Rattus norvegicus: one gene and its partner. The protein of the gene in region 2 purifies or fractionates together with the protein of the main gene of each other region. This does not show direct contact. Links are inferred from orthologs where the notes say so. Each region holds a gene or a part of one and is shown on either strand. Other genes may lie near its edges. The genes, in order: Cdh5 and Kdr.

Region 1 (15,864 bases), on a different chromosome or scaffold from region 2:
TGGATCAGTTACAGCCTCCCTCTGGACTGGGCTTGAAGTCCTGTTCAATAGCTCATGCCATCCAGTCTTCTGCCATCAGACAGACAGATAGCCTTACCAGGGGCTCGGAGACCCTTGCGGAAGACTAGAAGTTTAGCATAGTCAGTTTTGCTTGGCAGTTTTGAAGGGACAGGAGGTCTGGAATAGATTGGGAGTGTGTGTGTGTGTGTGTGTGTGTGTGTGTGTGTGTGTGTGTGTGTGTGTGGTGGGGGGGGGGCAGGATGGGATCCCAGAGAGAATACTAGTCTCGCTTTTCCAGTTTTTTGGAGTGGCCATCAATAAGATATGTTTCTGTTCCTGGATATTTAAGGGGCCTGAAATTTGCTACCTTGGGGATGGAAGTGTCTTTGGTACCCACAGGCAAGGGCCACTGGGTTGGAGAGTCTGTGTCACACCTTGGAAATCAGGGAAGGCAATGTCGGGTGTCTGATCCAGGTTGCAATGAGATTGGGTCCCCAGGCCCAAAGACCACAAACCCTAGATGATGAGCTCTTCCTGAGGATCTGAGCCATACAGCTCTGCCAGCATCTTGAACCTGGGTCCCCAGTCATTGAGGAAGTCATAGTCGATGTCAGAGTCGGAGGAATTGGTGCTCAGGGAGCTGAGGGACTCTGCGATGGACTCTGTGCCCTCGTAGCCGTAGATGTGCAGTGTATCGTAGGGGGGACCACCGCCATCATTGTCTGCCTCTTCTTTCTTCACCTCGATCATGGTGGCCATCTCTCTGGGCCCTCCGTGCAGGCTAGGCGCCAGTCGTGGAGGCTTCTGCACCTGTGTGTATACTGCTGGCCGGGCATCCATCGTGGACCGCAGAGGCTTGTTGGAGCCGGTGCGCACAGAATTAAGCACAGACACGTCGTAGCTTGTGGTGTCCATCTCGCCACCGCCCTCCTCGTCGTAGGTGACCAACTGCTCATGAATCTCAAGCGCACTCTTGCTATGAGCATGCGCCTGCTTCCGGAGCCGCCTCCGCAGGAAGATCAGCAAGGTGATCACTGCTAGCCAAGAAGTCCGAAGAAGAGATGTGGGTCAGACAGGTTCATTGGATCAGCCTAGACTCCCAGGGCCACTACTATGACTGGGCAAACAGATTTGGTTTGGCCCAAAATATAAGTCAGTGGCATATACCTACTGAAGACTGGGTGGGAATGGGTGTGGGAAGGTCCCCTGATCCTTGAGCTGTGGAGAGCTCCCTCAATGAGACCCAAGCCATCAAGTTTTCTAGCCTTGAGTTAGTTACTAATTTGTTAAATACAAAGAGTGACCCTGGCCTCCCCGAGCCCCAGTTTTCCTGTCTGCAGTGTGGATACATTGAATGCCCCCGTGACACTGGTATTTTGCGATTCTGTGATGTGGGTGGCATCAATACTTTCATCATCATCATCACCACCATCATCATCATCATCACCATCATCATTATCATCATCACCACCACCACCACCACCACCACCACCACCACCACCACCACCACCACCATCATCCATGAAAGAGAAGTCAGTCTCTAATGTCTCTGGCACAGAGGTCCAGGAAATGAACACACACAGTGGGAAGTTCAGAGGCCTGGAGCAAAGGCTGCCTGTACCTCATGACATCCTCGCTTCTCTGTGTGCGCCTCAGGGCTGGTACAGCATAGAGAAAGTACTTTCAAGAAGGAACATCCGCTCTCAATGGGAGAAGTCAGACTCTGCTGGGTGCTAGTGTAAAATGCCTTTCCTGGCAGCTTGCTCTTCACAAAGCCTTGTCTGAGATCTGTTTCTTAGGCAATGTCAGACCTAGGTGAAGCCTAAAGTGCCCCAAAGTGACAAGGCTCAAAATGAAACAAAAGCAAAAGCAAAAGCAAAACAAAACAAAACAAAAAAATGCAAACCAAAGCAAAAATGGACTCTGGAGGAATTCTAAAAAAGCAAAAAAAAAAAAAAACCCTCCAGCGACATTCCAGGCTAGAAGTCTCAAAACTTTCCATTATAAAGGAATTTCAGAAACAATTAAAGCTAGAAATGGTGGCACACACCTTTAATCCCAGCACTCTGAGGGCAAAAGCAAGTGAATTGGAGGTCCACATGCTCTACAGAGTGAGTTCCAGGCCAGTCAGGGGCTGTACAGTGAGATCTTGTCTCAAAATAGATGAGTAATACAGTAAATAATCATTTTAATGTACATCGGTGCCCCAAACAACACCCAGAATATAGTATGCACTCAAAATATATTTAGCAAATGAAGGAATGCCAAGTGTAGATTCATTTTCTTTTTTGTTTTGAAATTGAAGGTGATATTGAACCTGGTGCTTGACACATGCTAGTGACCCTGTCACTGCAATACACCAGGTTAATTTGAAATGGAGTTAGCTTGAAGAATGATTTTATGGCTCATCCTCCTTTCCCTTATTCCATATAGCACCAGGTTAGTGGGGTTACCTATTTATATCTCTGTATCCTATACATACAAGAACTGTGAACTCCAGAGTAGTGCAGGATAGGGCCAGAACCCTGCCTCTTCTCTGAAGCCCTCTTAATGTCTCCTCCCTGTCTATGAGACACTGACCTGTGATGGTGAGGATGCACAGAAAGATGGCTACCAGTGCCTGGATGCTGACACCCGCCTGTGCGGCCATCTCCTCACAGAAGGTGAACTCGCCCTGTTCGTTGCATTTGCACACAGCCACTGTTAGCGTGCCGGTTCCAGTCAGGCTGGGCATCCCATTGTCGGAGATGAGCACAGGCAGGTAGTGGAACTTGGTATGCTCCCGATTAAACTGTCCATACTTGACTGTGATGTTGGCGGTATTGTCTGCAAGCATCAAGACCACAGAGTGAGGCTCTGCCAGGAGCACCTGCCCTCTTGTCCCATGGGGGGAAGCTGCCTCTTTCTGCGTGATTTCATTGCCCTCTTTGTTTCCCGGCCTCATGTTTGAACCCTTTAAGCACAGGCTTGTCCCTTTGCAGAGGATGTACTTGGGTGACTGCTTTGACCCAGCCTAAGGGTGGCCAAGTCAGCGTGTAAGACCCCAATTTTCTGTTTCTGTGGTCAGTGGGTACACATCACTTTTTCCAAACCCATCCCAACAGGGGCTTTTGCTCAGCTCATTGCTGTATTGTTTTACACACACACACACACACACACACACACACACACACACACACACAGATACACCCCCACACACACTGCTGTCACTGCTATTCAGTACTCAGTGGCTATGGGCAAAGGAGAGATGGTCTACTTTTTTTTTTTTTTTTTTTGTAGGTTCCTGGGAGGTTGTAACACTAATGGTCAGAGGACTTACTTAGCCACACAGCCAAAAGCAAATTGGGAGAAATGAGAGACTCCAATATATAGAACATTTGTATGCAAACGACTCTGAGACCAACAGACCTGCTTCCTGTTGCACATGGGATATGAGTTTGGGGGTAGCTCCTAAATTTTCCCTAATGGATCCCAGTTCTTAGTTCGTTCAAGGTACACAAAGGGAATGGGATGATGGGTATTTTTGCAATGACATTTTCTGAGTATTGAGTTGAGTCATTAACTGTCAGCACAGCATGGCTGCCTTCCTCATTCTGTGGGCCATGATGCTCATCTTGCTTGATGCATCTGTGGCTGATTGCCTATATATGCCCCTCACTCTCAGGGACCCTCTTCCCTAGTTTTCCCCAAAGATGACAATGGGCTGTTTCAGTATGGGACCCTCATTGTGTCATCAGTAAGGGACAGGGAGATTTCCTCCCATGTTCGGATGAACAGTTGCTATAGTCATACCTGAGGGTGTACATTTTTCTTAGAGGCTGTGGAAGCCTGGCCACTTTCAGATGGAAATCAGCTTAGGGTCATCACTCTACGAAGTAGATCTTCACCAGGCCTCTGACTGGCCACTACTGACCTCACAAGACTCTCTGGTTTCTGACTGGCTGAATAGATATGCTGTAATATGATGTGATTGGTGGACCGGATCCTGTTCAGGGAACACTTTATGGTTGATACCCGTTCTAGCTGAACTGCAAACAAAGCTCATCACATTTCTGGGGTTTATGACTTCCTATTTCCAAGTTTGAGATCTTTGGAATGATCCCAGTATTAGAAGGAGCCTTTAGATAGTTTGGCTGAGCTGGCTGCCTGCATCCCTGTATCCATTCTGTGTTCCTCTTCAATGAAGCCTCTTTAGGGTAATGGTGACCCTCTGGATCATGTCCTATGGACCATGAAGCCTGGCCAGGAGGCTTCAACTACAACGTAGGCCAACTGTGCAATCTACGTGGTGAAAGTTGTACAGAACACTCCATAACTTAAAAGACCCTCTGGAGACCTGTCACCCCATGTTGGACTAGTACTTGATCTTAGTGCTTCAAGACTTTTAACCGACACCTCTGACCTTCTAAGAGCCGACCGCCTGCTCTGCGGCTTACCGTGGTTGTTGATGAGGGTGAAGTTGCTGTCCTCGTTCTTCAGGGCAAACTTGAACTTTGTGTTTACTGGCACCACGTCCTTGTCTGTTGCAGAGATCTGTACTACCAGCTGGAATGTGAGAGATGGGGAAGGATCAGTGTGGTTTCCGGGTTCAAGGATGGGTTTAGACAAGGCTGTGGCTGCCTGTCACCTGCGGCACTATGGTCTCCCCCAAGACACTTTGTCTTACTACCATCCTGCACTCACATATCCCTGACCTATTCTTCAGACACTCCTAGAGCCTCCATTTCTCCGCCTGAAAAATGGGAATAGCACTTTATTCAGGGTTGTTATGTAGTTACTTTATACTTAGGTAACTCTAGGTGGGCAGGAAGGTTTTCTCCCAAGTCATCTACCTGAAAACACACTACTTCTTGGTCCCCCATCTCCTCCACTCGAGGCCAACTCACCTTGCCCTGGGCAGCATTCTCACATACTTTAGGTTCGTAGGGCTGGGCAAATTCTGGGGCGTTGTCATTCTCATCCAAAACTTCAATGTAAATCTGTACAATGGATTCTTTACCTACAGGGTTACCTGCAGGGGAGACAGCTTGTCATTATACTGGGCCCAGCTGATGCTGGCCTTTGAAGATGTTTTGATGGACAGTCCTGGGGCAAAGTGTGGTGGAGGCCATTTTTTTTTTAAGGAGGAAAGGCCAAAGATGACATTAGAATGGGAGGAGGACAATGTGGGGGGTAGACCTTCATATGTAAGCAAACTTGCTGATAAGAATTCAAGAGCTAACCATCCTCAGCACATCTGAAGAGGTTGTAAAAGAGTTAGTAAGTAAATCAAGCAAACAGATACAATTGATTAAAACAATGCAATCGGACACATAATCATGCACTTTTAAAAGTAATGTTGTCCCCTCTCAGGAACCCCCATGGGACCTGGTTGCTGTGGGAAAGCGAACACTAGTTTGCTGGGTGATTGTTACAACTCCCCTTACTTCTGTCAGAATTCATACCAATTGTTGCAGAACGTTATAATCTCTACCTTTGAGAGCTGCTTCTTGGCTCTTTCACTGGTGCACACATAACTTTTTTTGTGCACAAAGGAGTGTTTGCCAAATGTGTTTGACACTAAGAATCGTGCAGCATTTGTTCCATGCACAGCCTTCGAGGCTCTCTGTGTTCTCTGGACCAAACCCTCAGAAAGTCTGTGTGTAGCATGTGCCTTTGCTGAGTCTCATCACAGAGACACTTGAACAGTGTGTTTTATCACAGAGCTTCTTAAACTATGATGCATTCAGTCTAAGGTGGTACTCTTATTATTCTGTCCTTCCGACAAGGTTTTGGGTGCTCTATATGATGGTGGTCCAAGGAGCACATTTAGAAATGGAAGGTCAAACTACCCCAATCAGAGAATGTTTCCCTGGGGCCCTTAGAATACATTTAGAGGTCCAGAATGAAGAGTCATGTCGGTTTTGAAAGAATGAAGGAAAAGAAAGGGCCCAGGTAGCTTGGAAAGTGGGGCCACTCACCCCTAGAATCCAATTCGTTGGCCTCCACAGTCAGGTTATACCAGGCGTGGGTTTCTCTGTCCAGTTCTTTCTCATTATAGATGTTCCCTTGTTTGGTTATTCGGAAGTATTGGCCTCTGTCACTGGTCTTGCGGATGGAGTATCTGTCAGGAGAAATGGGTTCATGGCTTTCCTTGTCCCTTGCTGTTTCCAAAGTCCTCACCATGACAGAGAATTTGACCCCTGTATCCTTCCCCATACCCCTTTCTAGTGTTCCCTACACTTACCACCCCGAGTGAGTAGCCTGTACATGTTCCCAAAGCAGGAGGATGCTTGACCTGAAGGATGTGTTATCTTATGATTGGATGGGGTACCCAAGACTCCACCCAGCTGCATTTCAAACTAAGTAACTTTAAAATCACTTACACTGCAGTTGGAATGTGTGTGTGTGTGTGTGAGACAGAGAGAGAGAGACAGAGAGAGAGAGAGAGAGAGAGAGAGAGAGAGAGAGAGAGAGAGAGAAGGTTGTTGCTACTACTGAAAAGCCATGGCAAAAAAAGTAACACAAAATATAATATGCTTTTTTGATAGGAAGAAGGCCTATGTCTACAGATTAAGCAATATTTTGACATAACTATAAAAAATAGCAATAATTAGGCATATTCTGTTAGTCCTTTGAATGTCCCAGTGATGTGAGAAAACTGAAGGGTTCAGACTCTCACGAACGAAAAGTAGATTCCCTAAGAGGAAAGGGAAATTAGACCCACTCCAGATGTTCCAACAAAGGTGAATGCTAGAACACACTGGTGGAACTTTTGAAGAAAAGTCTATGACCTGGAGATTGTACAAGTACATCATTCACAAAGATAGGTTCTGATTATGCACAGAAGAAATTGTTTTGAAGCTTTAAAAGTTGTCCTAATCAAAAGTAGAAACCTGGTTTGGGAGGAACTGAAATGAAGTTGTTGAAGCATGTATGAGTGATGCTTTTCATTAGAAAACATTTAAGATTTTGTAGACAGAAGTAAATCTGCGGTCAAATGTCTATGAGAAAAAAAAGGAGGGTTATAGAAAGATGAGGCACAAGAGGAAACTTGTCCCATCTGAGAAATAGGACATATAAAACAAGACAAGTGAGATCAAGCCCAGTACTGAGGATGAAAACAGCAAGCAGGCCGAACACAAACTCTGTTGAGATTAAAAAGCCAGCCCAACTGAGTGCTGTTTTCAAGAGACAGCTTAAAGCCATGCAATCTAGAAAAGTCAGAAGTAAAAGTCGGAGAATTTATCAAACAGAAACAACAAGCTTAACGTCACATGGCGTGGCACTGGGGACCAAAAGCATGAGAACAAACTAGATGGTTTCACAGAGGTGCAGAATTGCAGGTCCTGCACTCAGCTGTGGAGCACTGGCTCTGTGTGCACAGACCCTGGCTTTTAGCCCTTGCACTGGACAAAGAAGTTATAGGACATAAATGAAGGTAAAATAGTGGTAGATCTTAGTTAACTGGACAGAAAAATTAAAATACAGAAGTATTGATATTTCGGTAAAAAGAAAATGGGTGAAATACAACTGTATTATGTCACAGAACATATTAGACCACCCTCAATCCCCACAGCACTAGTACAAGAAAACCAAACCAAGCAAACCCAAGTCAATAAAGTCCCCAACCAAAGAAACAGCCAAAGTTATAATTATAAATCACTTGGAATAGATGACAGTGAGATTGGGTCCCCACATGCGTGAGGTGGACCCAAACTGGAAAGGCTTGCTTTGTTCTCAACAAGAAGACCTAATACTGCCAGGCCTGGTGATGCAGGCCTGAAATTCCAGGAAGCTGAGGCAGAACCTCAAGATCTGTCTGGGCCATCGTGTGAGTTCATGGCTGGATTGGTCCACTTACTGAGACCCTGTCTGAAAATGGGGGTGGGGGGAGAAGGTAGCAGAAGCCTGGGGGTGTGGTCTGAAAGGTAGGGTGCTTGGGAGGCTCTTGACCAGTGTTTGTATTGTAAATAAAGATTTTCCAAAATCAATATATAAAATTAATTCTTGGGTTGTCAAAACGGCTCAGTGGGCAAAGGTATCTGTGGCCAAGCCTGATAACCCGAGTTCTATTCCATGGTCTCACATGGTCCAAGGAGAAAACTGACTCCCATGGGTTACTTCTGACCTCTACATTTGTACTGTGGCACATACCACCTCTTACACACAGAATAAAGACAGAAAAGAGGAATAAAATAAAAAATACCTCATTAGGATATAAATATATTTTAAAACTATATGAAAACTACTTTTATGAAGCCAAGTATGGTGGAATGAATGTATGCTGTAATTTTGGTACTAAAGAGGAAGTGATAGGATTACAGCAGTTCAAGGCCAGTCGAGGCTACATAGACCCTATCTTTAAAAAAAAGGAGAAAAAAATATACTCGAGTGTGAGAATGGTCGTTTCGGATTAGATAAAAATGCAGAGAGAGAAGGGTTCGAGTCAGCAGAAAGCTGTTGCATTGAAGCAGAGTGTCACAGAGGAGCAGGCAGAGTGGGGAATTCAGAGGTAGGGTCAAGGATGGGTAAGAACTTAAATATATAACGCCAGTGATGAAATAATGACGTCAACAGGCCTGGCACAGCTGGCTTCATGTGTGGGATAAAATTGGATTGGATTGAATTCATTCTTACTACCAAATATTAGGAAGTCTGAGCAGATCTATGTATTCCCTTTGTCCCAGAGGGTAGAGGAGGGAAATTTAGTTAAGTCAGAGGAACAAGGACATGGGGCTGAATGTCTCATTCCACACCCTCCAAAGTCCACGTATTAGAAACTCTATCCACAGATGCATGTATTTGTGGTATTTGGAGATTAAGCTCTTGGGAGGTAATTACCATTAGGATTAGGATTGGGTCATGAGGGGTCCCCACGGTGGATTAGTGGCTTTATAAGAAGGTGAAGAAAGACCTACACTGGCAAGCTATTAGGTCTCACCATGTTACAGCAAGTAAAACCTCATTAGATGGCAATCAGGTGCTGGCACCATGCCCTTGGATTTCCAAGCCTTTAGACCCTTAAGATAAATAGAGCTCTGTGGCTCATAAATTATCCAACCCATGCTATGAAGTTGTAGTAATGGGAAACGAACTAGGAACAAGTATTGATGGACTGTGCGGAACATGATCCAAGGAAAACAGCAGCGAAAACACAAACAGTAACAACAAACGCAGCATCCGTGCATTGGTACATTTGTGTGGCCATGAAGGGAAGGAAAGGATACTCAGCCCACCTGAGAATCTGGTGGGAGCAGGAACTACCATAGATCTCTTTATAGAAGTGTATAGTTTCACCAAGTGAAAGCAACACTCTGGCTTTGTGTCTTGGGAGAAATCTCTCTAAACTAGTTTTGGTGATGGGGCTTCAGGTAAGCCATTCCTTTTGATGGCCTCATTAGACAGGAACTATGTAAGTCAAGGTCCAAAGTCCTTTAAAGAACAGAGGATGGCCTGGACCAGACAAGAGAGACAAGACAGGAGCTGGTGGGAGAAGAGTGTTAGTAGAAAGAGCCAAGGTTTAGCCTCAGCATCTTTCCATGGAGTTTTGGCAAGACCATGTCCTTCTCTGAGCCCTAGTCTGAGACCATTAGGCATAAGAATGACCATGCTAGGATCACCATGGCATCATCACTTCATGCCCACACTTCTTTACCCTATGCTGCGTTGAGCCTTGTCGGGGTCTTTGGCCACCACAGTGCCAATCAGTGGTTTCTTCTTGTTTTCGGGCAGGTGGAAGTGGTAGAAGCGTCGCTGGAAGACAGGGGGCTCATCCACATCTAGGACATTGATGATGATCTTGGCTTTGTTTTTGCCCGCAGTGCTGCTCAGGTATCCGAGTCTGATAGTGGGGTCTGTGGCCTCGATGTGGAACGTGTACTGCTGGATGAGTTCATAGTCCAGGGGCTGCATGGGCAGGAAGTATAGTGACTGGTTTTAGCCCATTTCGTTTGCCTGGTACCACCTCTGTACCTGAGCCTGTTCTATGAATCAAGGACATGCCCAATCCCAGTCCTTCTCTCAAGGGGGCAATACCCTAGTGGTTCTGTTCAAAGGGAGTAACTTTCCTGGTTTTGCTCAAGAGACTTCTCCTGTGTTTGTCTGCCTAGCAAATTTCTTCCTGTTCATCCTGAGGAATGAGTAGTAATTTGCTGTTGAGCAGTTAGTTAGTAAGAGACCTTCTCAGCAAGGGGCAACACCTTCTTGTCTGGCATTATTGTGCAGCCTTGAATACACCAGTTACATTTTTTGTTGTTGTTTGTATGCCTATCTTCCCTATTGTCTGAGAGCTTTGTGGACTCTGGTGGCTTTCTGTGCATTCTCAGTCCTCTACTTTAAAATTCTGGAAGCATAAGGCTCCTTCCTCTCCCTACTCTTCTAGATTCAGTAAGTCAGACCGCTTGCTGTCACAGAAGCCACTGTTCATGGCTACTTGTGCCCTTAGTCATACATTCTTTACATATGCTGATAGATTTCTACTATTGGGACACAGGGAGTTAATGTTGGGGGCACAGTGCTGGTGAGTTTTTAAATGTCAACTTGCTGTATAATCTGAAATCACCTGAGAAGGGAACCTCAACTGAGGAACTGTCTAGATCAGGTTACGTATGGGTTTGTCTGTGGGGGATTATCTTGATTGTTAATGGACCCAGTCCATTGTGGGCAGCACCATTCCCTAGGCCTGGTTCTGAACTGTATGAGAGGAGAAAACTAGCTGAGTGCATTCATTTCCTTCTGATTTTGGCTGTGGATGTGATGTGACCAGTTGTCTCAAGTTTCTGCCACTGTGACTTTTCCTTAACAATGGACTCAACTTGGAATTGTAAATCAAAAACAATCTTTCTTCTCCAAAGTTACTTTTGGTCAAGGTTATTTTATCACAACATGAGAAGTGAGACTAGAACAAGTGTTGTCTGTCAGCACTGCAGGGTTTGTGGCTGCTTAGCCCAGAGCCCGATCTTCCTGCTGCAACTCTGAGACATACTCTGGGCTCCACTTGTACCTGTTTATCAGTGATTGCCACCTATCCTTGCGCCTGAGGCTTCTAGGGAATACTACCCAGATAAACATTTCACACCCAAAGTATTGCCTCTGCTGTATCTCTGGAATAACTCAGGCTGAGACTGTGGGCTATAGTCTCCAGGAACTCCTGGCCAACTCTGAGCTGAAAAGAGCATACTCCTTCAATGGCCTGTGGCTCAGAAGTGATCCCTGAGCATGTCCTTTGGATACTGCAAAGTCCACAGCCCATGAATGGATTCAGTTCTGCAGGTCAACGTACCTTTGTGGGTTTGATGATACCCTCATTACGGTCGGGGTCTGTCTCAATGGTGAAGGTGTCCCTGTACTCGCCCTGCATGATGCTATATTTGGTCATCCGGTTCTGAGGCTCATCTGGGTCCTCAACAGAGAGAGAGCCCAAGGGCTTGCCCACACGGATATCTTCAGGCACCGAAAATGTGTATGTGGCTGATGAGATGAGCATAGGATACCGCAAAGAGTTAATGAGATAGATAAGACAATTGTCTCTTCATATTATCACACACACACACACACACACACACACACACACACACACACACACACCACATGCACACATTGTCCCTTCATATTATCATACACATGCATGCACGTATGCACACACAAACAATAGAAATTTTACCAAGGGTCTTACCCAGGCTAGGCAAGCACTCTATCACTGAACTATACCCCTAGCCTTTGGAATTTTGAGATTGAGGCTTGCTCTGTAGCCCAAGGTGGGTTTGAACTTGCAAATCTCCTGTCTCTGTCTCTTCAATGCTAGGGTCACAGGCATCTGCTGCCACCTATCTGGGTATCAAACCATATTTTGCTACAGAAAACAGGCAAGAAACTTAGGATTGTGTGATTCTGGGTCCGAAGATAAGGAGGCCTGCCTTGCCTTTTGCCCATCTGTCAAGCTAGCAGGGAGTTAGCTCATTCTGTACATTGGAACATCAATAGACAAGAGAGACAAATCTTGCCTTCAGGAAGTAATAGAGCTACTTTAGAACTAGATAATTTGGGGGTCAGCTGAGGCCTGAATTTCCACATAGCTAGTGGGTTCCATGAACATACCAACTTACTTTTCCTGCCTCTCTCACTCGGAGCACAGGAAAAGCTCTTGACACACAGTTTCTAAAGGGAAAATCAATTTGTAGGCATGTTTACAGCAGGCTTTGGTTGTACCCTATTCTCTGGGATTTTATAGCTGGGCCCTCAGTCTCAGAGGATCTGGGCGAAATTGCTTTTGTCTCACAATGGGACTTGAAGCATTGCAGTGCTATCAGCAAGGCTGTGATTTTTTTTTAAATCTGGTCTATGAAGGACTCAGCAGTGGACAGTTGGGTGACTTGGAGAGCAAGGCATTAGGATGCACCAGGGTCTCTATATTCTGGCTTCAGAAGTGCCCTGGGATATGGCAAGAAGTAGAGAGATTTGGGGCACTGTCTGAGAGCTCCCAAATCACTGAATCTGGATCGTCTCAGCCCCTGTCTACTTAAGGGCCTATGAGAGGGGCTTACACTGAGTAAAGATGGGGAAGTTGTCATTGATGTCTTCCAATCTGATCAGCACAGTGGCTGTGCCTGACTCTCCCCGCAGACCCTGGGCATCTTGTGCTTCCACCACGATCTTGTATTCAGCCCGTGTCTCTCTGTCCAAGTTTTTGTCCTTTGTGAAAATGAGTCCTGAAAAGAAAGTGACCCAACAGATATTGTGTTACCTGAGGAGCCTTGAGAAAATCTGAATGCCAAGATCCTTTCAGAAATACACCGGTGACTCCACTATATATCTGAGATTGAGATCCCTAGAACTATAGTCCACTGCCTCCATACCTTGCCCTGTATGGCTAAAAGTTGGCCAAATGTATGGTTCAGTATTGTTCCTAGCCAAAGAGAATGTAATGTTGAGAAAGACCATACTGCCAATTCCAGACTCAGAGTGAGATAGATTAGTGATGTCTGCCCTGGTACACATAAATATGATTGGCTATGCTGTGTCTTAGAACTGAGAGTGCTGTACTCGATTAATGATGTCTGTATTGACATATGCAGAAGTGGCTGCCCTTTTTAGTGCTACGAGTGCTGTGATAGATTAGTGACATATCTCTTGGTGCCCTTAGAAGTACCAGTTGCTCTGTGTATTTGCTCATCTTCTGGAAGACAAGTGTGTCTGGCTAGACTAACTGGCCTTCTTTCTTGCTTCCGCGGTTCGGTTCTTACAGTTTTTTAAATTTGTTAAACACCAAATTTGGCCTGAGAAGCCTTCTGTACTTGCAGACTTGAATCCTGTGATGAACTGCAACCTAGTAGCATGTAAATAAACTAAAGCCCTAACTTAGGAGTATGCTCAGCCAATCACAGCAGCTGGGCTTCAGTTAATCATAGGCTGCCACCTGTTCAAAGCTATTCAAATAAAGCAGACACCCCAGCTGGAAACGACCGAGCTGTTTCTAGACTGCAGGTTTTTTTTTTTCTTCCCTGCACTATAAATATCACCCAACTATGTGGCAGCCCTGGGGTTTCTCTGAACTTGTTTGGCTTCTGGGGTGTCCCAATTTGTGAACTGTTCTTTGCAAAAATTAAACTCGATAAAATTTAATTGGTCTAAAGTTTTCTCTTAACGAGGCACAAAAAAATTATGTGGCATGGCTGTGCCTATGCAAAATCTAATTCCAACTTCACAGCTACTGCACAAGGGACCATGAGCATTCCTGTTTTCTGGACAAAGGAAGCAAGGTTCTTAGGTGTTAGATAACTTTTCCAAGGGGCTGTAGGGCTGAGCAGCAGTTCTAGGCTCAAATCAGATGTCTCTGAACATGTACAAAGACCTTCCAACCACTATGTTCTTTTGAGTCCTGGTCTATGCTTGGGTGAAAAGGCCCTGATTTTCTTTCTGGACTTGAGTACATGTTTTGGGCAGTTGTCTGCTTTCTTCTCCCCTAACCCACTCCAATATGTCTTTATATTTATTATGCACTCCTTCTCTGGATCAGTGACTGGTAACACCCATCAGATTAGAGTTCTCTCTACATTGGCCCCTGCAATATTCATGCCCCTCTCCCATCCCTCTAAATAGGCACCCTCCCAAAAGGTTTAGTCATACAGACCAGAATTGTCGATGGCGAAGTACTCATTTCCTTTCACCATTTGGTACAAGACAGTGGCGTGGCCAGCCACCGTAGGGTCATCTGCATCCGTTGCTGTCACACGGATGACAGAGGTCCCTGTGGAGAGAGAGAGTTCTGGTGTTTCTGCTCATGACTGTGGTCCTCACCCTGTTTCCTGGTGATAGTAAATGGGGTTCTGCTGTTCCTACTTGCCCAAGCTGAGGGAATGAGGGTTGCTTTGTGCCAGAGGGGCCATCACGAGGACAAAGTGCCAGCAAGGGTGAGCCCAGCCAGATCAGTCAGAAAACAGGCAAAGAGAACAGGTGATTTGTATGTTTGCAGGAGAAATGAAGGTGTTTGGGTTTGAGAGAGTAACTTAGGTGATGTCTGGGTGGATTTTCCTTTTCTGAAAGTATGAGAATGTGGGACTGGGAAGGGTATTGCAAAGCCCCGAGAGGGATGGAGATCCTATTTCTCATCCTTTGGAGTTCTAGACTTCCTCAAGGAGGTCTGGTCCCATGGTCTTGAGCGCAGATCCTGGACAGAAGACTAGAGAAACACACTCTCTGTCTGGACCTTCTGGAAGCAGGTTGAGGATAGGTTAGTACCTCCCAAGCCCATATCTAGGGTGATTACACGCTCTGGGGTCAGGATCAGGGCCCAGGCTATAAAGAGAGTCAGTGCTCAGCACATTATGAGGATTAAAACCCATCTATGGTTAGGGTCAGGTTTTAGTTTGGGACTAGATCAGAGGTTAGCCTTTAAGGACACATTTCAAAATCATGTAAAGGTGCAAGACAGCATCACAATTACTTCCTTGAGCTTACTGGAGCCCAGCCTTAAGCATTGAGGTGGTTGATGTGAGAGGTGTCTTCAGGCTGGTGTTGAGGAGGGGAGGAGAGAGAGGAAAGACTAGGCACATACCTATAGCTGACATCTCGGGCACAGATGCGTTGAATACCTGGTGCGTAAACACAGGCCAGTTGTCATTTACATCATGCACCTTGACAGTGAAGCTGGAAGGTTGTTCCAGGTTTTTGTTGGTCTTCTTGTCCACAATGAGGGCAGTAAGGAAGTACTCAGAGACTTTTTCCCGGTCTAACCTCTCATAGGCAAGCACATCCCCTGTGTCAGCATCGACCCTGAAGATCTTGCCAGCTTGTTCTCCTTGGAGCACATACTTAGCATTCTGACGGTTCACATTGGACTTGATCTGGGGAAGAACAGGCAACATGAGCTGGGAATGGGCAGTGGGTGCATACACGAGTGTGCATGCTTGTGTGTGTGCACACATGTGACGATGCATGCATGTATGCTGACCATATGTGTGTGTAGTGCTGAGTAGGGATGCTCACCCTGACACTGACGCTTTAAACAAGAACTTTCAACTGGTCACCAGTGAGCTTGTCTTCACCAGGTCACTGCAAGCACGGTAGTGATGCATCTTTTTTAGCTGTGTCCAATGCCTAGAATGGCACATGGAGCCTAGTCACGCATTTGCCACCAGAGAATAATAGTGTCTTTCTCCCTTGGAAGACATGGGTTTTTACTATCTCATCTTTAAAATGGACCCAATTGGATTCCTAAGGTTGATTTGCACTAATGGATACAGCTTCCCACTTGGAAATGAATGCCAGGAAAGCTTGGCTTCTCTTGTTCCGTGCAAAAATGGGACACGTGCCGGTGATGTGCTAGAACTGGCTTCTATCAATATGGCTTTGAAGACTTGGTTAGAGTTGGGGAATATTTGTGAT
Region 2 (16,404 bases):
GACCAACATGCACAGGCCAACTGAAGCAGAGTGGGTTGGGTCTCCCAGCATAACAATCTTTTCATGGATGCTATGCAGTCGGTCACAGTCCTATATAAAAGTGTGGGTGGACTAGTGTGTGTGTGTTTGTATGTATGTGTGTGTGTTTGTAGGTATGAGTGTGTATGTTTGTATGTATGAGTGTGTGTGTGTGTGTTTGTGTGAGTGAGTGTGTGTGCTTGTAGGTATGAGTGTGTGTGTATGTGTGTGGAGTGTGTGTGTTTGTAGGTATGAGTGTATGTTTTTATATGTGTGTGTGACTGTGTATTTTTGTATATAGGAGTATATGTGTATGTTTGTATGTATGAGTGTGCGTGTTTGTATGTATGAGTGTGAGTATGTATGTTTGTGTTTGTATATGTGAGTGTGTGTGAGTTGTGTGTGTATGTGTGTGTCTGTGTGTTTTAAAGTCTTTATAATTTATCTGTCCAGAGAGGACCCTATATCTCTTAAGAAAACTTCATTAGGGTTTATTATCCAAGTATTCAGAGGTCTGGCTTTGTGTTGTCAGGGTTACCTTTGAGGACGGGAATTGCCAGCTGAAATCAAGCCCCACGTTGAGCTCTGTTCTTGCTGTACAATTTAAGACAAGCTTTTCTCCGGCAGATAGCTCAATTTCATGAGGGGGGCTCAGGACCACATCATAAATCCTATATCCTGAAGCACATAAATGATAAAAACAGAAAGTAAGATGGAAAAGAAATCTAGGACTTGGCACGCACCTTTTAAGTGGCGCAGAGCGTGTGACATCATTTTCCTCGGGGACCTCACTGCTTCTTGATGGCTTTAGGAAAGCGGTTTATAATGATTTACAAATCACTGTCTTCAGCATTTCAAAGATGTTGTAATAACCCAATGAATAATAAAATCTAGATACAATTAAAAGAACTGGTGCCAAGCAGTACTCTGACTATTGCAGTTTTTATAAAATGAACTCCTTTTTTCATTCTTGGTCTTGGCAAGAAAGGAGAAACCCCAGTTGCAATAGTTTGTCTGGTAAAGAAGAGTATTTGGAAAGAGTTAACCATCCTCTGAGCTAATACCTTTCCCCGTATCCCTTGCACCTTGCTCTCCAGGATACTCATGTAGAAAGCTACTCTTTAGTGTACGGTGGAAAGGAAATATTCACTTACCTACAACCAGAACTATGTACATGATAGACTGATACGTTTCATCATTAATCTTTGCCTCACAGAAGACCATGCCGGCATAGCTGATCATGTAACTGGGGATAGTAAAGCCTTTCTCGCTGTCCCAGGAAATTCTGTTTCCATCCGGAACAAATCTCTTTTCTGGATACCTCTGATTAGCAAAAAGAGAGACAACAAATATTTAACCCAGCACTGTCCAAATTTGATGACCAATGAAGGACCCATCTTACTTCTAAGAATGTAAGAATGTGCTGTTTGCCCTCCCTAAGGGACTTTGTAACTCACTGTTGGAATGGTTTTGAAAGTGGGAAGCTCGTCTCCAAAAAAGGGTTACAGCAATGGACACATGCGGTGACTGAAAAAGAGGCAACTCACAGCACAAAGTGACACGTTGAGGTTTGAAATCGACCCTCGGCATGGGATCACCACAGTTTTGTTCTTGTTCTCAGTGATGTACACGATGCCATGCTCGTCACTGACAGAGGCGATGAATGGTGACCTGTGATCTAGAAGAAAAGGGAATTCTCCCAGTGAATTATTAGCAAGAGAATTAGTAGCCTTGGGTCCGTGAACTCTAACTGAATAATGGAATGACTGTCGTTGACAACTTGCATGGACGAAGACAGCCACAGGCTAGTCTGCACATAGATATCCAGCTCTAAAGATGTGGCCAAGGAAGGGCAGAGAAACACAGAGAAGAGGGGGTGAGAGACAGAGACAGAGAGACAGAGAGTCAGAGATGGAGGGACAGAAAGACAAAGAGAAAGAGAGACACAGACAGAGACAGAAAAGAGTAAATGAAAACTCCAACAAGGTAAATTAATGTTTAACTTCTTCCACATGGAGTATTAACAAGTAGAATCTATTTTAATAGCCCATGCTTTACAAGACTTTTTTTATATAAAATAAAAAAACTTCATTTAAATCCATATACTTAAACTCTGAGTTTTATGATGCTAAAAGTTCATGTTTTTCATTAGGGAAATAATGTAAATGACTAACAAGAAATTAGGATTTTTAAACCAAGAGAAAATAACAATCAGATGATTCAACCATTCAAAAGAATGATGTTTATATTATCGTAAGTCTGTGGGGTCTGTAGATAAGAGTCTTTATAAAGTCATGTTTCATAGCCACTACATTTAGTTCAAGATTTAGCCCATATGAATATCCACAACAATGAGTATTAGGAAAAATGCAATTCCAACAATTGAGATGAAAGCCAGAGAGATTTTGTTATCTTTCAGACGCCATTCACACAGTACTAATACGTGGCTGGGGATTTACTTCATCCCCTAGAGACAGAACACATGGTCTGGAGCCACGACTTGAAATGGCAGAGATAACATCTCACCTCCTACCCCCCACACATCTGGTCAAGCCTTTGCAGAGGTGAAGAAAGAGTTAATGAAACCAAAGGGAAGAAGAGTAACTAATTCCTTTCAACAGCAAAAACCTGATTTCCTCCCCAGCTGGAAAGCATAGAAATCCAGCTAGCTTCGTTCCCCACATGCCATCATCATTATCTTGCATGGCCAAGGCCAGCTTCCTGGCTCCCTCCACTGCTAGATGGGTCAGAGGACTGAGGAAGTTAGAGGGGACATTAGAGACCTATCCATGGGGAATACTACATTCAATGCTTTCTTTCCTGTTGTTAAATTTCATGACACAAACTCAGAAAGCTAAGCTGAGGCAGGAGCAGAATTTTATCATTTATCCAACGTCACCAAGTATACCAGCAAACGTGCTAGTGACATGTGCTTGCTGCCCTGCCCACCCTCCACGGACATGTTAATGGATATGACCTGACTTGCTTCATTCAAAGCAAGCCTTGGGAAGCTAAATTAACCACTTGACTTAAGACTAAAGCTATGCTGTAAGCTATTTCAGTAGCACTGAAGGGGAAGTAAACAAAAGAATACCAAACAACCACGCATCCTCCCAAAAATAAAACATTTATTGTAACCCACGAAATGACTTTTCTCATGTCTCCAGGTTTCCTGACTCGGGGAGAAGGAAGTAACAAGATATTGTAGGAGAAGCTCATCTTGAAGCATTTCCAGACAGGCTGGGAGCAGGAAATCCTTGCAATCTTCTGAGAGAGCCACGTCTCCCAAGACTGCCGGATCAAAAGGAGCCAGGCATTCTCCAAGGTCTGAGCCTTGTCTCTCTCAGCTCTGCAGGGTAAGGAGGGGAGGCACAGAACTCTCTCTCATACTCTGCTTACCCCGAGCAAAAAGAATACCTAATCACGGGGAAGCTCAAGAGCATCATGGGATATTTGAATATGGCCTCTGTTCTCCTATACACTGACCCTACTGAAATGGAAGTGTAGATATGCAAGTATGGTGCCCTGGTGAAGCACCTTCCTGTCTGGTAAGAGTGGCTTTCGGGGAAAAAACTCAAAGTCATTTTCACCTGCCTCGGATCCCCTGAGATGTAAGGCTACATACAGATGAATAAATACATATATAGATCCATCCTTCTCTGAAAGAAATATAACATGGTATGCCAGTGTCAAATATAATGTAACTCAGGGCTGGAGAGATGGCCCAGCAGACAGGAGCACTGGTTTCTCCTGCAGAGGACCTGGGTTCAGTGCCCAGCATCCACATGGTGACTCATGGTCATCTGTAACTCCAGGTCCAGGGGATGCAGTGCCCACCTCTGACCTTCATGGATAGCATGCATGCATACATTACCCATCTATACATGCAAACTCTCACGCACAAAAAAAGAATAACAAAGAAATCTCTATGTATAATGCAGCCTATATATTCCTGAGAAGCACATGCTATTACAAGCATCTCGGCAGTGAAGAGAGGTGTTTCCCAAGAAAAGGTGGTGTGCAATTTTTAGAACATAAAGGGGATGATGAGTCCCGTAAATCCAGAATACATGTTGCATTTTAATTTTACTATAGGATGCTAAGTTACAAAATCTCGATTATATCACAAAACTAACCTCTTGATGTAAGACAAAAGTTAAATTCCTTCGACTTGAAACTAAGGGTGTCCTGTGAGCCAATTCTACATCTTTAGCCTTTAAAGGGGAAGTATACAAAGGAAGCTCAAATAGCAAATTATCACCTCAAAATAAAATACTTCTCTGTCCACAAAGACTGTTCATGTCTGCAAGTTTCATCTCCATGGAGTTGATCCCAAGCCCTCTCAGCTCACACAAGCAAAGACAAGACATGCAGTCCAGAGGGGTTCTTTTGAGTGCAGTGTTGTGCTTTGCACATGGGTATGTGAATTTTTTAAAAATAAAGTGGTAATTTGGAAAGGAAAGATCTTATGGGGGAGGGAGAAAAAAAAAGACAGACTCTAGAGTCCTTGGCTATTTCCCTATGCATTCCTACAAAAACCTCCTCCCTGCTACAGATAACCTATCTTACCACATAAACCTCTCTATAATTCACCTCCAATCTTTGAAAACCTCATCTTCAAAGATCCCAGAGTCTCAAAGAGCAGAAGACATTTTATGAGTCTCTATAGCTCTTGGCGGGTCACAGGAGGGAATCACAGAGCTCCGTAGCAAAGGAACTAGGGCTGACCTAGGCAGAGAAGAGAAGTGCAGCTCCAACCCAGACTGCTGGTGAGTCCTTCTCCAAGGAAGCCTGGGAGAGAGGCTTTTCTATTCCTTTTGGGAAAACAGCTTTCCTATCAAGCCTCTTGTTGGACTCAACTCTTCTTGACTCAATTACATTTATGACATCAGAAGCAGAGGTGGGAAGCACATTCTAGCCCACCACTTACCTTGAACATAGACATAAACGATGGAGGAGACATCGGTGTCCCGATAGAAGCACTTGTAGGCTCCAGTATCATTTCCAACCACTCTGGGAACTGTGAGTGTCTTGCAGAAGATACTGTCGCCACACTCAGTCACCAACACCCTTTCCTCAGAGTCACGCGGAGTGTTGGGCCAAAGCCAATCCAGGTCCCTCTGTCCCCTGAAAAAGTATTCCAGGAAGATATTAATGCAACACTCCCTTGCCACGAGGCTATGATTAAGAGAACAGAAGATTTGGTTTTTCACACACATGTAAACTACTCAACAGACACCTTCGAGTTGATAGACACTGATGACAGACGTTCTGCAAGGACATGCCACCAAAGAACACACACTCTGTTACAGAAATCACCCACGTGGTCGTGTGTTTTCTATTAGTTCACTCATTCATTCTTTCAATGAATATTTTAGGCAATATATGATTGCTAAGCATTATTAAGGACAAAAAAATGGATCCTTTTTAAGGGATCCAGGATATCAAGCCCAGCGGCAGAGTAGTTGGCCAGTGTACACGAAAAAGAAAAAATTCAGTGCCCTTCTGGAACTTAACTCTAGACGAGGGAGATAATACAATTAAAAGGTACAGATTGCTGCGTAAATGGCGGTGATTTCACACTGTGAAGGAAAATATAAAAGAGGCAAAGACAAGGGCAGAATGCGACCAAGCTGGCCCTATGCATTCCAACAGTAAATATGAAAGACAGACAGGGACCGGGGCACATCTGGAGCATTGGGAGAACGGCAAGGAAGCCAGAGTCCTCATGTGGGTATAAGCAAGGGGGAGTAAGAAGTTAGCACACAGAGAGAAGAGGCTCACAGGGCCTTGTGAGGGCCACATCAAATAGACATTACTTTTATAGTTTCCATTCTCCACAAAGCAAAAGTTAGGTAGTCAATGAGTGAAGCAACACGACCAACTGAGCCATAGAGCTTAGAACTTGCACGATATCACAGTCCTTTGTTCAGTGCTTGAGGAATGTCTCTGCAGTCTCCAGAGGCGGGGTGAAGCCTTTGCAGGCCTTAAGTCACCTTTGTGTCTGAGAACAGGTAGATGAAAGTCTCTGGAAATGCCACGACTTAATAAAGATAAACGATTCCTGCTATGGCTTTCTGTTTTTGTCCCCTGCCCCCTGCCCCATGACTAGGCATTGGTGACTTTTGTAGACCTTAGACGAGGGGCCAGGTTCTCTCCACATGCAATGATCTACACTAGACCTGAGTTGTTCTGTGGACTGCTTGGTATTTTTCAAATATGAGGCAACTGCGACAAGCTGCCAGGGCTCCTCTTGCCACCAAGCACTCTTCTCAGATGGCACCATTGCCTGGACCCATCACCATCCCCAACAAAACACGCTATTCTGCACACAGGGCCTTCATAAACAGTCACACACCCAGCTACACCTCCCCTAGGTTTCCTTTCTTGCCTCTTGGTGGAAAAGTAAGAATCAAAGGGACTTCTCGATGGCAAGTGGGAAAGAGGCCCTGGGACATCAAGCCAGATTATGAAGGTCCTGGTCTGAACAGGACAAATGGTCAGGAATATTACTGGCTCGAGATTTAATTGCTAATAAAGACAAAATTTCATTTGTAAAAAACAGCTTTAAAAAGGGTCCAGAAGCCATTCTGGGTGACTTGAACATGGCTAGAATTTTAACTCTATTCATAAGGATATCTCTTTTGCTTTACTAACTTATCAATAGTTGTGAATGCCTATTGCGTGTCAGTTTCTGACCTGTCTGCACGTGCATGCATGTGTGTGCCAGGGCATGTTGTATCTGTGTAAAATGGTTGTACATGTTGAAAGTAGCAAAACAGTACAAAAGTCTGAAGAGACTTTTCTCATTGTTTCGTTATTAAATGAGTTCTTAGAAGTCTCATGACTTATAAACAATTGTAACAATACTATTCTACTCCTGCAATAATGGAAATTGTTGTGACCGCAGTAAACATTGAGTCCTTTCACACAGGAAATCTGGATCAAAAAGGAATCCTTACCTGCAAGTAATCTGAAGGGTTGTATTTGCCAAAATTGTAAGTATGTCTTTTTGTGTGCTGAGCTTGGGTGGATGGAGGGAATCGCCAGGCAAACCTAGAAACAAATTAGATAAGAGTTGGATCCAATAGGAAACCCTCCCACAAACAATGCACACTCCAGGTTTTAAAAGGCCTCTTCAGCAATTCATTGTATAAAAGTGGGATTGACTTTGCCCATTCCCAGTAAAAGTTCACAGGCTCTGTCATAACAGGAAGAATGGGCAGATGGTCACAGACCAACACAACAGTTCTGCAATCCACGGCACCAGGGTGGAGTTCCTGTTTTCCTGTGTTGCCAACTTCAAGGTCTTACAAAAGGATATGGGATCCTGAAACCCAGTGAACCCCCATCTGATGATCTCAGGCCCTTGGGAAAGGACCCACTGACATTTCTTGTAAAGCATAGGATGTGCAGATCTGACTAAAATGCTGATTAATGAAAACCCCGGAGAGATCTCTCTACAGCTCATCTCCATACCCCCAAAAGGGACAGGAGCCACTGTGACCCTGTCCCATTGTCTTTTATCATGCTGTGCACCAGACTTCCTTTGGGAACTGAGCTATAAAGGCAAAGGTAGTGGCTCCCAAAGACAGCTCATTTAAATGGAAGAAGAGAAACATCTCCCAAGTTCTCGCTTACATGCATATTAATAAACTCGGAGCAAAACTGAATGAGCCATAGCTGGGGTCCCAACTCATTAACCAAAGCTCTGTGGTCATATCAATACAAAGCTGGAGGCATATGACACTTGTTACCTGGCCGACTGAAATGCATAAAGGCATCGTGAGAGATATGCACCACTGCAGGCCATTAAATAGCGAGACAACTAGTTTTCAGTCAACTAACCTGCCAAGTGCTACCGGCTGCCTAAAAAGCATGAGAAAAACAGAAGTTGCCCACCACGTTAAAGGGCATCAAGATCTTCCACTCTCCACTCAAGACGTGAGCTGCCTACCGTGCTGGCACACACCTGGAAGCCCAGCATTCTGATGAATGAGACAAGAGGACGGCAAGTTCGAGGCTAGCCTGGGCCACACAGTGAGACTCTGTCTCAAAAGAAAAAGAATAACTAATTAATACCAGGCAGGGCTCCAGGCTTTCTAAGCCACCCTGACTAAGAACAGATGACTCCTCAGGCCTCAGCTGGCATTGACAGTGTTGGGCAAATGAGTGAGCGGGAACAAATATGAGGCCACTAATGCAGTATGAGCAAACAGCCAAGGCAAACACCCGGTGCCGTGACACTGTGGCCCTCTGAGAACAAGCAGAGCAGGCCGTTCACTGACTGTAGCGGTTCTCGCACACCTGCACAGATGTGCATAACGGTCTACAGCAATTCCACCCTGAATACACCCAACCTAACCGGATGTACATATGCTGCTGATATAACCGTGGATTTATTCATTAATTAACATTTTTCAAACGCTGGAAATTAAATGGCATTTAATGAATCTCAGAAGTTAGTTGGCATTGTTAATAACTCGTGTGTGGACTGTGAGTCTGAACCTCATGGTGTGTTTATTCCTAGACCAACAAATAGGGGTTTTTAAATGGCATCGAAAGTGACTGTATCACAGGTGCTCTTGGTCCCCCCCACCCCGAGACGGCTACAGAACTGAGCAATTATATTCAATTAACCGGCATAATATTTGTCCATATCAAAGAAGTTACTGTCCCTAACATAGGCATGCAATTAAAATGTTCATAGACAAGCCTTTGAATGATGGAATCTTACTTTGTTTGAGAAGTGGGAGATAAAAACAATTTGTTTGATAAGTAGATTTTAAACATGACTGAGCAGCATTAACCTGAAGACAATCACTGGCTACACTCATGGGGTGAACCCATTATTCAGGCAGATGGGTGAGGAAAATGTGGTAGTAAGCTGCGCCCACTCTACCACCACAGTAAGTGACCTTTATTCTTCAGTGGGGAAGCGAATGCAGAGCCTGAGCGCTCTACCGCTGATCAACACGCTACAGCCACTCAGAGCCGCGCTACTGTCTCTGTCATAACACACAGCCATAGATGCTCTTAGAGGGCAGGCGCATTAGCTCTGCTCATCTGTAAAAGATGCCCCATTCCCGAGACACCAAATACAGCACCATAGTATCCAAGGGATGTGTCTGCAATCAAATCTAGTCAACGAGGTTATCGATAACTGGAGATTTACATCAATGGCTAATGATCCCTCTCCCCCTTATTAAACCTCATTCATTTTCAATGGCAAGTTTGGGTTCTGTTCTTTAGAAAGCTCCTTCTTACTGTAAGAGGTACATATGCTGCTACTCAATAAAAGCCCTTTTATGTTCAAATCCGATAACCAACATTAATTAATTTGTGCACTGTTATCCTTCCCACTCAAAGACCAGAAGGAAAAACAACAGCGGCTCTGTCTCTAGACTCCGATGGCACCAATTATGGTCCAATCCAATTAAGAAAGTCACACACTCCAAAAGGGCAACCTCCGTTTAATTCAGGGAACCAACCAACGGGCTACTGTTAAACTGCTACACTAGGAACACTCCAGGCTTCACAGCAACTCACTTCGCTATGGGACCCAGGGCAAGCACGTGTTCTAGGCTGCCTTTCTCGTCCCAGAAAGCGGGAGAGTGAGGCCTTGTCAGGAACAAATGGGCACCCATGATGGAGTTAGCCTGGTGAACCAAGTCATTATGAGGAAGATTCAATAACTGTAGACAGATGATCCTGGCGCTGTACGTCAGCGCCAGTGCTTTTAAGGCATGCGATTTTCTTCGGATATAAGGAATGTTTCTGCAGAATTGACTTTTTTTTTTTTCTGACTCTCCATTCTCCAATGGATGGAGTCTGGGAAATCTGCAAACTGTGGCTACAAAAAGAAAATGAGAGAGAAATAGAGGAGGAAGAGGATGAGGAGGAGAAGAGGGGAAGGAAAGGAGGGAAGAGAAGGGAAGGGGTTGCACAAAAGCCCAAGAGCGAGTGAGAGCCTAACCTTGAAACACAGGGCATCTTTAAACAGTAAAAATGGCCTATATCTAGGTGCCAAACTAAAGAGTTTCTGAAACTTTCAGAAACTCAGAGTTTACCCCAGGACCAAACACTTTGGAGTAGTAAGTGGAGAGTTACTTTAAGATACCTGGAAAAGCTACCATAGAAGAAGCCGCTTCCTCCTGCCAGCAAAGTGGCATTCTGCACCAAAGAAAGTTGGGTAGGAAAGTGTTGCTCTGTGAAGAGCGCACATAGTGAGCTTACCCGCTGGAGCTAAAGCAGAGCGGAGCGGGAGGCTGGTTCCCTGCTCCACTCAGGGCAGCAAGCAACAGCCTGCGTGCTCGATGCCAGTCAGGCCGCCCGGCTTGCACTGGCTTCCCGGCATTTGACTGCCTGTTCCTGCCAGTGGGAGCATCTCCTGCCCCGGCGCAGGGCGCCTTCCCACTCCCGCCTACCCAGCGCCAGGGGTTGTGGGCTCCGCAGGACACGCTCCAGCCAGAGCCCGGGGGAGATTAGAATCCTGGCTGAGTCATTTCGGAAGAGTCTTTGAACCTCAGTTTCCCGGTTGGTAAGTGAAAGAACACCAAAGGACGGGTCTCTAGAGCTCTCCGAGTTAGGTCCTCTTCTCTGTTATCCCCACTCTCCGCCCGCACCCTGCTCCACCTTACTTCTAAAGAGTGGGCTCCTTACCCACAGAGGCGGCTCGGGTCTCCACGCAGAACCACAGAGCGACAGCTAGCAGCGCCCTGCTCTCCATCCTGCACCTCGCGCTGGGCACAGATGCTTTCTCGGTCCCTGGCCGGCAAAGAAGTCACAGAAGCGGTACGCGCTCCTGCAGTGCAAAACCTGGGAAAGCGCAGGGCACCGGCGCCCTGGCTCCAGCCGCAGCTGCAGCAGTGTCGGCGGACACGGGTCAGCCAGGTTATCCCGGCTGCAGGACACAATCTGGGCTTTCAGTCGTGCGGAGTAGCGTTCCGGGCGATCTAAGGAGACACAGCCTACTCTCTTGGGGTCCTGAGGACTCAGTGCAGAGAGCCAGCGCTGGCTAAACACTAGAGAATGGGGGCGGGGTCATTACCGGGAGGGGTGGGGACTCCCTGCGTCCGGCCACGCCCCTCGCTGGATACCAGGTTTGGGTTTCCCGGTTTCCCACGCCCACTCCCCCACTACCCCGGAACTGTGCCGGGCTGCAAGTCCCATCCGAGAGCAAATCTGGACGCAGCTCGGATTCTGGTGGAAGTAAAATGTAGCCAATAAGGGGCTCTGAGACACTTGCTGCCCCCCAGCAACCCGGGAAGCATCACCAGAAACGCAAGACCGGCTGCGCCCTCATTAGGTGCCTCCAAGTGCAGAACTCTCTTCCCTGCTGCAGCTGAGAGCCCCAAGGGACCAAACCTCCGCTTGCAGGTTGGAGCATGAAGATAGGAACCCTGGACCTAGATGTATCTGGGGCACCAACTTTCAGTGAGTTGGTCAGTACTTGGAAGTTTTGTTTAATGGTGCTCTGGCCAGTGCAGCCATAGTTTTAACTCCCCCGCCCCCCGCCCCTGCCCCCCGCCCCCTTTGAACGCTTTAATTAAAAGATAGGCTCTTATCCAGGTTGCCAATGCCCCTACTGTTTTCTCGTCCATCTGGCAACTTTAGATCTTTTGAAGTTACCTGCCTAGCCCTAGAAGACATTTCGGTTGTGAACTCCTGCCTGGCTTTGTCCAGATAACTGCAGCAGGAGATCCAGGTTGCTGAGGGTGATCAGGGCTCCAGGGCAGCTGCACAGAGAAGAGCGCCTATCCTCCTCCAGTGGCTGCTAGAGTGCTTTCGTCTACCCAGCTCCATGGCCATGGTTCCCTACAGAAACTTTGGCCAGGTTCCTTTCCAAAGCTGACCTTTCAGCCAAGATAGGCTTGGGGGGAGAGAAGGGAGCATTTTCAGGGGTGTCAACTGTGGGAGCAGAAGCGAAAGCGGTCCCTGCGTGAACAGTTTTTTTCAACTGTGTGGCTTTCTTTCCATTCCTTCCACGCCTAGGAAATGACAATAAATACCTTGTAACAACTTTTACTCCTGGCATTTATAATGATAGTTTAAAGGACAGTCTTTCAGCCGGACAAAGGGATAAGATTATTGTCTTTACATCCAACCGAAACTACACCGATGTGCGCCATTAATGAAACACGATGCTTTTCTTTTTTAAAGAAGGGAGATAAACAGTGATTCTCCTTCATCACGAACCTGCCTGAGCCTGAAGTGTGGTGCCAGACGCAGCTGTCGAGCCCAGGAGGCTTTTCAAAATCCAGGTTCACTATAAAAATGTTTCAACACATTTACACATATACACCTATAAGGTGAAATTAAGCTTGAAAAAATATGGGAATGTTTTGTGTGGGCATTTTCCTTTTAGTGGGGACATGCACAGTCTATGCACGTTTCGGTGTGTATACTGGGCTCCTCTTCTCAGGAATGAAAACTCCATTTAAAAGTTGTTTGGCGTCTTCTTTCCCTTTACGGTGTACATGGACAACATTCTGAAGGTTCTGCCTGGTTCTTCTTATCCGCGTTCCACTGTGTAGGTGTACTCTTATCTAAGAGGTATTTATTTGTGAACAGGGTAGACCACTTAAGGAAACTTCTCTTGGGTAGAGTAAAACAAACTAAAACAAACCTCAGAAAAAGAACCAGGGAGGGCTGTCAGATTTGGGTAAAGGGAGGGAAGATGGATTCTGTCTTGGAGAAGGTAGAGTTTTCTCCATCCCAGTGGCCAAACAAGGCTTCTCTTGAAGCCTTATTTACAATGCTGAAAACTTCCCCTTCCACGTTTGACTTAAGAAGACAGTGTCTCCTCTAATACAAACCAGAACCTGCAGGCCCATGGTAATAGCCCCATTTAGAACTCCTAGAGGAAATGGTGCATCTTTGATGGCTATGGTCCCCAAATTCAACAGGATCTCCGTGAAATCTGTCTCCTATACTCCCTCCCACACACACTGAGAAATACTCTGCATTTTGTTGGGTTTATTTTTAAAGACGAGATTTGCTTTGAAAAGGAAGAAGGAAAGGAAAGGGGGAGGGGAAGCAGAGGGAAGGAGACAGGGATGGTTCAGCTTGTGAAGTTGCTGTGCAAGCATAGAGAGCTGAGTTCGAGCTTCCAAACTCGCATTTAAAAAGCCAGATGTGGTGCCAGCCATGTTATCCTGATGCTGGGGAAGGAGAGATATGAGGATCCCTGAGGTCCACCAGTCCAAGACGAGATCAATCAGCTGGTGACCCTCAGGCCAGTGAGAGGCACTGTCTCCCAGCTGAAGCTCTTGAGAAATGATACTCAACTATACCTCTGGCAGATGATCTACCTCCATCGAAAATGGACCTCCACCGAGCATGAGTGGGCGCGCGCTCGTGTACACACACACACACACACACACACACACACACACACACACTCACACACACACTCACAGACACTCACACACACAGACACACACACACTCACACACAAACTCACAGACACACTCACACACACAGACACACACACTCACACACACTCACATACACTCACACACACTCACACACACACTCATACACACACACACACACACACACTCGTTCAGTAGCATTCTCTGTTTGGCACAGTCATAGATGAGCAGTAGGAAGTGTCATGAGCAGTTCCCAGAAAGATCACGCTTTTATAAATTCCAGGAAGTGCTGGCTGCAAAGGTAGATGGGAAAGAAGGAATCTTTGCATCTTACGTGTTTTTTTTTTTTTAAAAAACAACAACAACAACTTCACTCTCACAACTAAAATGTGGCATGCTACCCTTTTCTAGTGGCTGCTGTGGTTTTGGTCACTGTCACCATTAATCACAAGTTTGCATGGCACTTCCTCATGCTTGCTTCGTTTAAGTGTTTCCCCAAGTTTCTGTTTAGCAGGGCACGTGACTACCTCCCTGGCAAGGTGGGCTGTTTATAAACTGAGCACACTCATAACTATCGTACTTTGCAAGCGCTCGAGGGCCATTTCCTTTTCACTATCGAATTTCTTTCTGTTCCCAAGATTATTTTACTCTGTGTACGGTTTACTGCTTTAACTTACAACATTTCTTTTTTTAATGTTTGAGAAAAAGAAGGCTCAGTTACCTGGAAGTCAGACTGGCTTTGCGTGTTCCATTAGAGTTCGAGTCTACTCATAATACTTTACAGTGTGATGAATGTTTGAATGACTTCCCATCCTTCACGTGAAACAGATGAAGTGGTTCTCATCCCTCGCTACCTGTAGAGGAAGAATCTTGGTACTAGGGCAGTGTACTCATCACCAGGCCCTCTCCTATAGTTAATGTGGAACTTAAAAAAAAAGATAAATCGAAATTTTAACATAGAGTTCGAGAGATGCTTCCGCAGTAAGGGTTCTTGCTGCGTTTCTACAGGACCCCAGTTTGGTTCCCGGCATCCACACTGGGTAACTCACGGCCTGTTCCTACAACTCCAGAGAATCTGTTGCCTTGGTTTCTATGGAAACACACACACATGCTCACTGGCACTCACATACACACAAATACGTAAAATAAAATATTTTTTACTTTAATCGAATATATAAAAGATACAGGGAATTTAATCGAAAGTCTGTATTTCACCAGAGAAGGAGGCCAAAAAATGTGAGTACCCAACCTTTGAGCAGACACGCTCTGAAAGCTGAACCTCATCTTTCATCCCTTGAGACAAACAGGAAGGTAGCAAGCACTATTAGCAGTCTTGGGGGCAAAGGAAAAAATTATTCTTGATGTTAAGAGAGTCTTCTCCCTCCCTTCTTAGATCTGTGCAAAAGGAAAAAAAAATAGTTACATCAGTTTTCTAGATCAAGTGCAATTTTCTTTTTTTCCCTGAATCATTTTCTTAAGATTTATTTATTTAATGTGTGTGAGTAGTTTGCATTCAATGTTTGCCTGGTGTTTTCAGAGTCAGATCTCCTCGATGGGGTTACAGATGGTTATTAGCCACCAAGTAGGTGCTGGGAACTGGCTCCAGGGCCTGTGCAGGAAGACGTATTCTTCACAGCTGAGCCATCCCTCCAGCTCCATTCAGCATATTTTGTTTTTTTACTAGACGTGTCAATGAAAGTCAAGAGGCTGCATTTTAAATTAATAACAAAACAAGTTTATTTAGGAGAACTCTTTGTGTGCTGGGTATTTTTCTTGCTTTATCTGTTTACTGCTCAAAATAACTGAATAGAAAATGCATTATTCTCATAGAATGGAGGAAGGAGTTTAGAAGGTGTAGTAGCTTTGCAATATTTCACAGTTCTAAGTTGCTGAATAATAGTTTTTTAAGAACAGATGTTAAGTATCCAAGACCTTTAGGCTCATAGTTTCTAACAGGTGACCCATCTCATGATCTCATCCAAGGATAAGGCCAGGGGCATTGAGTCAATGCCTCAGGCTGCCTCTTACCTCCCTGCAAGCTTTTCTTTGCTGTAAAACACCACAAGCAAGGAAACCTACAGAAAAGAGTTCATTTGAGCTTACCTCTCCAGAGGGTTAAGAATCTATCCTGGTGGACAGGCATGGCGGCCGCAGGAATCTGAGCGCTCACAGTGTCAGACACAGCACAATGCAGAGAGAGAACGGGGTAGTAGATGAGGGTTTATGACGTCAAAGCCTCTAACTTGCTTCCTCCAGCAAGGCTGTACTTCCAACCCCCCCGCACAGAAGCTCCACCAGCTGAGGACGAAGTATTCAAATATCTGAGCCTACGGGGAACATTCTTGTCCACATCACTACATCCCCAGTAAATGATCCATTTTCCTAGAAAGATTGTGGGCCAAAAGGAAGTTAATGGGGGGAGGGGCATCTCTGAGATGCTAATCAAGAAAGAAAGATCTTCCTTTTCTATGTAATCTTCAAATTACCAGTCTTCCTAACAAATCTTTTTTTAAAAAAAGACTTCTAACAGTCTTTTTTTTTTAAATGTTCTGGAACTGGAGAGATGGCTCAGTGGTTAAGAGCACTGTCTGCTCTTCCAGAGGCCCTGAGTTCAATTCCTAGCAACCACATGGTGGCTCACAACCATCTGTAATGGGATCCAACGTCCTCTTCTGGTGTGTCTGAAGACAGCTACAGTGTACTCATATATAATAAATAAATCTAAAAAAATATCCTTAGTCATTTTGGATATCTTTCAGTATGAAATGTGAGGCCCAGTGAGCTCACTCTTTCTTTCTTTCTTTCTTTCTTTCTTTCTTTCTTTCTTTCTTTTTCCTTTTTCTTCCTCCCTTTTCTTCTGCCTTCCTTCCTTCCTTTTACCCTCCTCCTCCATTTTATTTTAGATTTATTATTTTATTTCATATGTATGGATCAATCATTTGCTTGCACATTTGTCTGTGAACCAAGTGTGTGCCTGGTACCCACAGAGGTCGGAAGAGGCTCTCAGATC

What was found.
Region 1: the proteins of Kdr (region 2) and Cdh5 purify together in Homo sapiens (affinity purification with western blotting; 3 studies listed by BioGRID and IntAct, with this or other methods). This does not show direct contact. The link is inferred for Rattus norvegicus from reciprocal best matches to the Homo sapiens genes KDR and CDH5.

What each region holds. Positions count from the first base shown.
Region 1 is NC_086037.1:822,949-838,812, forward strand, and holds the end of Cdh5 (cadherin-5), read right to left. Parts: intron 15,324-15,864; coding exon 15,035-15,323; intron 14,228-15,034; coding exon 14,111-14,227; intron 12,690-14,110; coding exon 12,525-12,689; intron 11,452-12,524; coding exon 11,264-11,451; intron 9,889-11,263; coding exon 9,638-9,888; intron 6,104-9,637; coding exon 5,961-6,103; intron 5,012-5,960; coding exon 4,887-5,011; intron 4,546-4,886; coding exon 4,437-4,545; intron 2,827-4,436; coding exon 2,581-2,826; intron 1,038-2,580; coding exon of another isoform or gene 1,035-1,037; coding exon 517-1,034; 3' UTR 359-516; downstream 1-358. UniProt on the Homo sapiens protein: Cadherins are calcium-dependent cell adhesion proteins. They preferentially interact with themselves in a homophilic manner in connecting cells; cadherins may thus contribute to the sorting of heterogeneous cell types.
Region 2 is NC_086032.1:32,566,659-32,583,062, reverse strand, and holds the start of Kdr (vascular endothelial growth factor receptor 2 precursor), read right to left. Parts: upstream 11,001-16,404; 5' UTR 10,748-11,000; coding exon 10,681-10,747; intron 7,075-10,680; coding exon 6,981-7,074; intron 5,146-6,980; coding exon 4,949-5,145; intron 1,697-4,948; coding exon 1,566-1,696; intron 1,342-1,565; coding exon 1,173-1,341; intron 697-1,172; coding exon 557-696; intron 1-556. UniProt on the Homo sapiens protein: Tyrosine-protein kinase that acts as a cell-surface receptor for VEGFA, VEGFC and VEGFD. Plays an essential role in the regulation of angiogenesis, vascular development, vascular permeability, and embryonic hematopoiesis.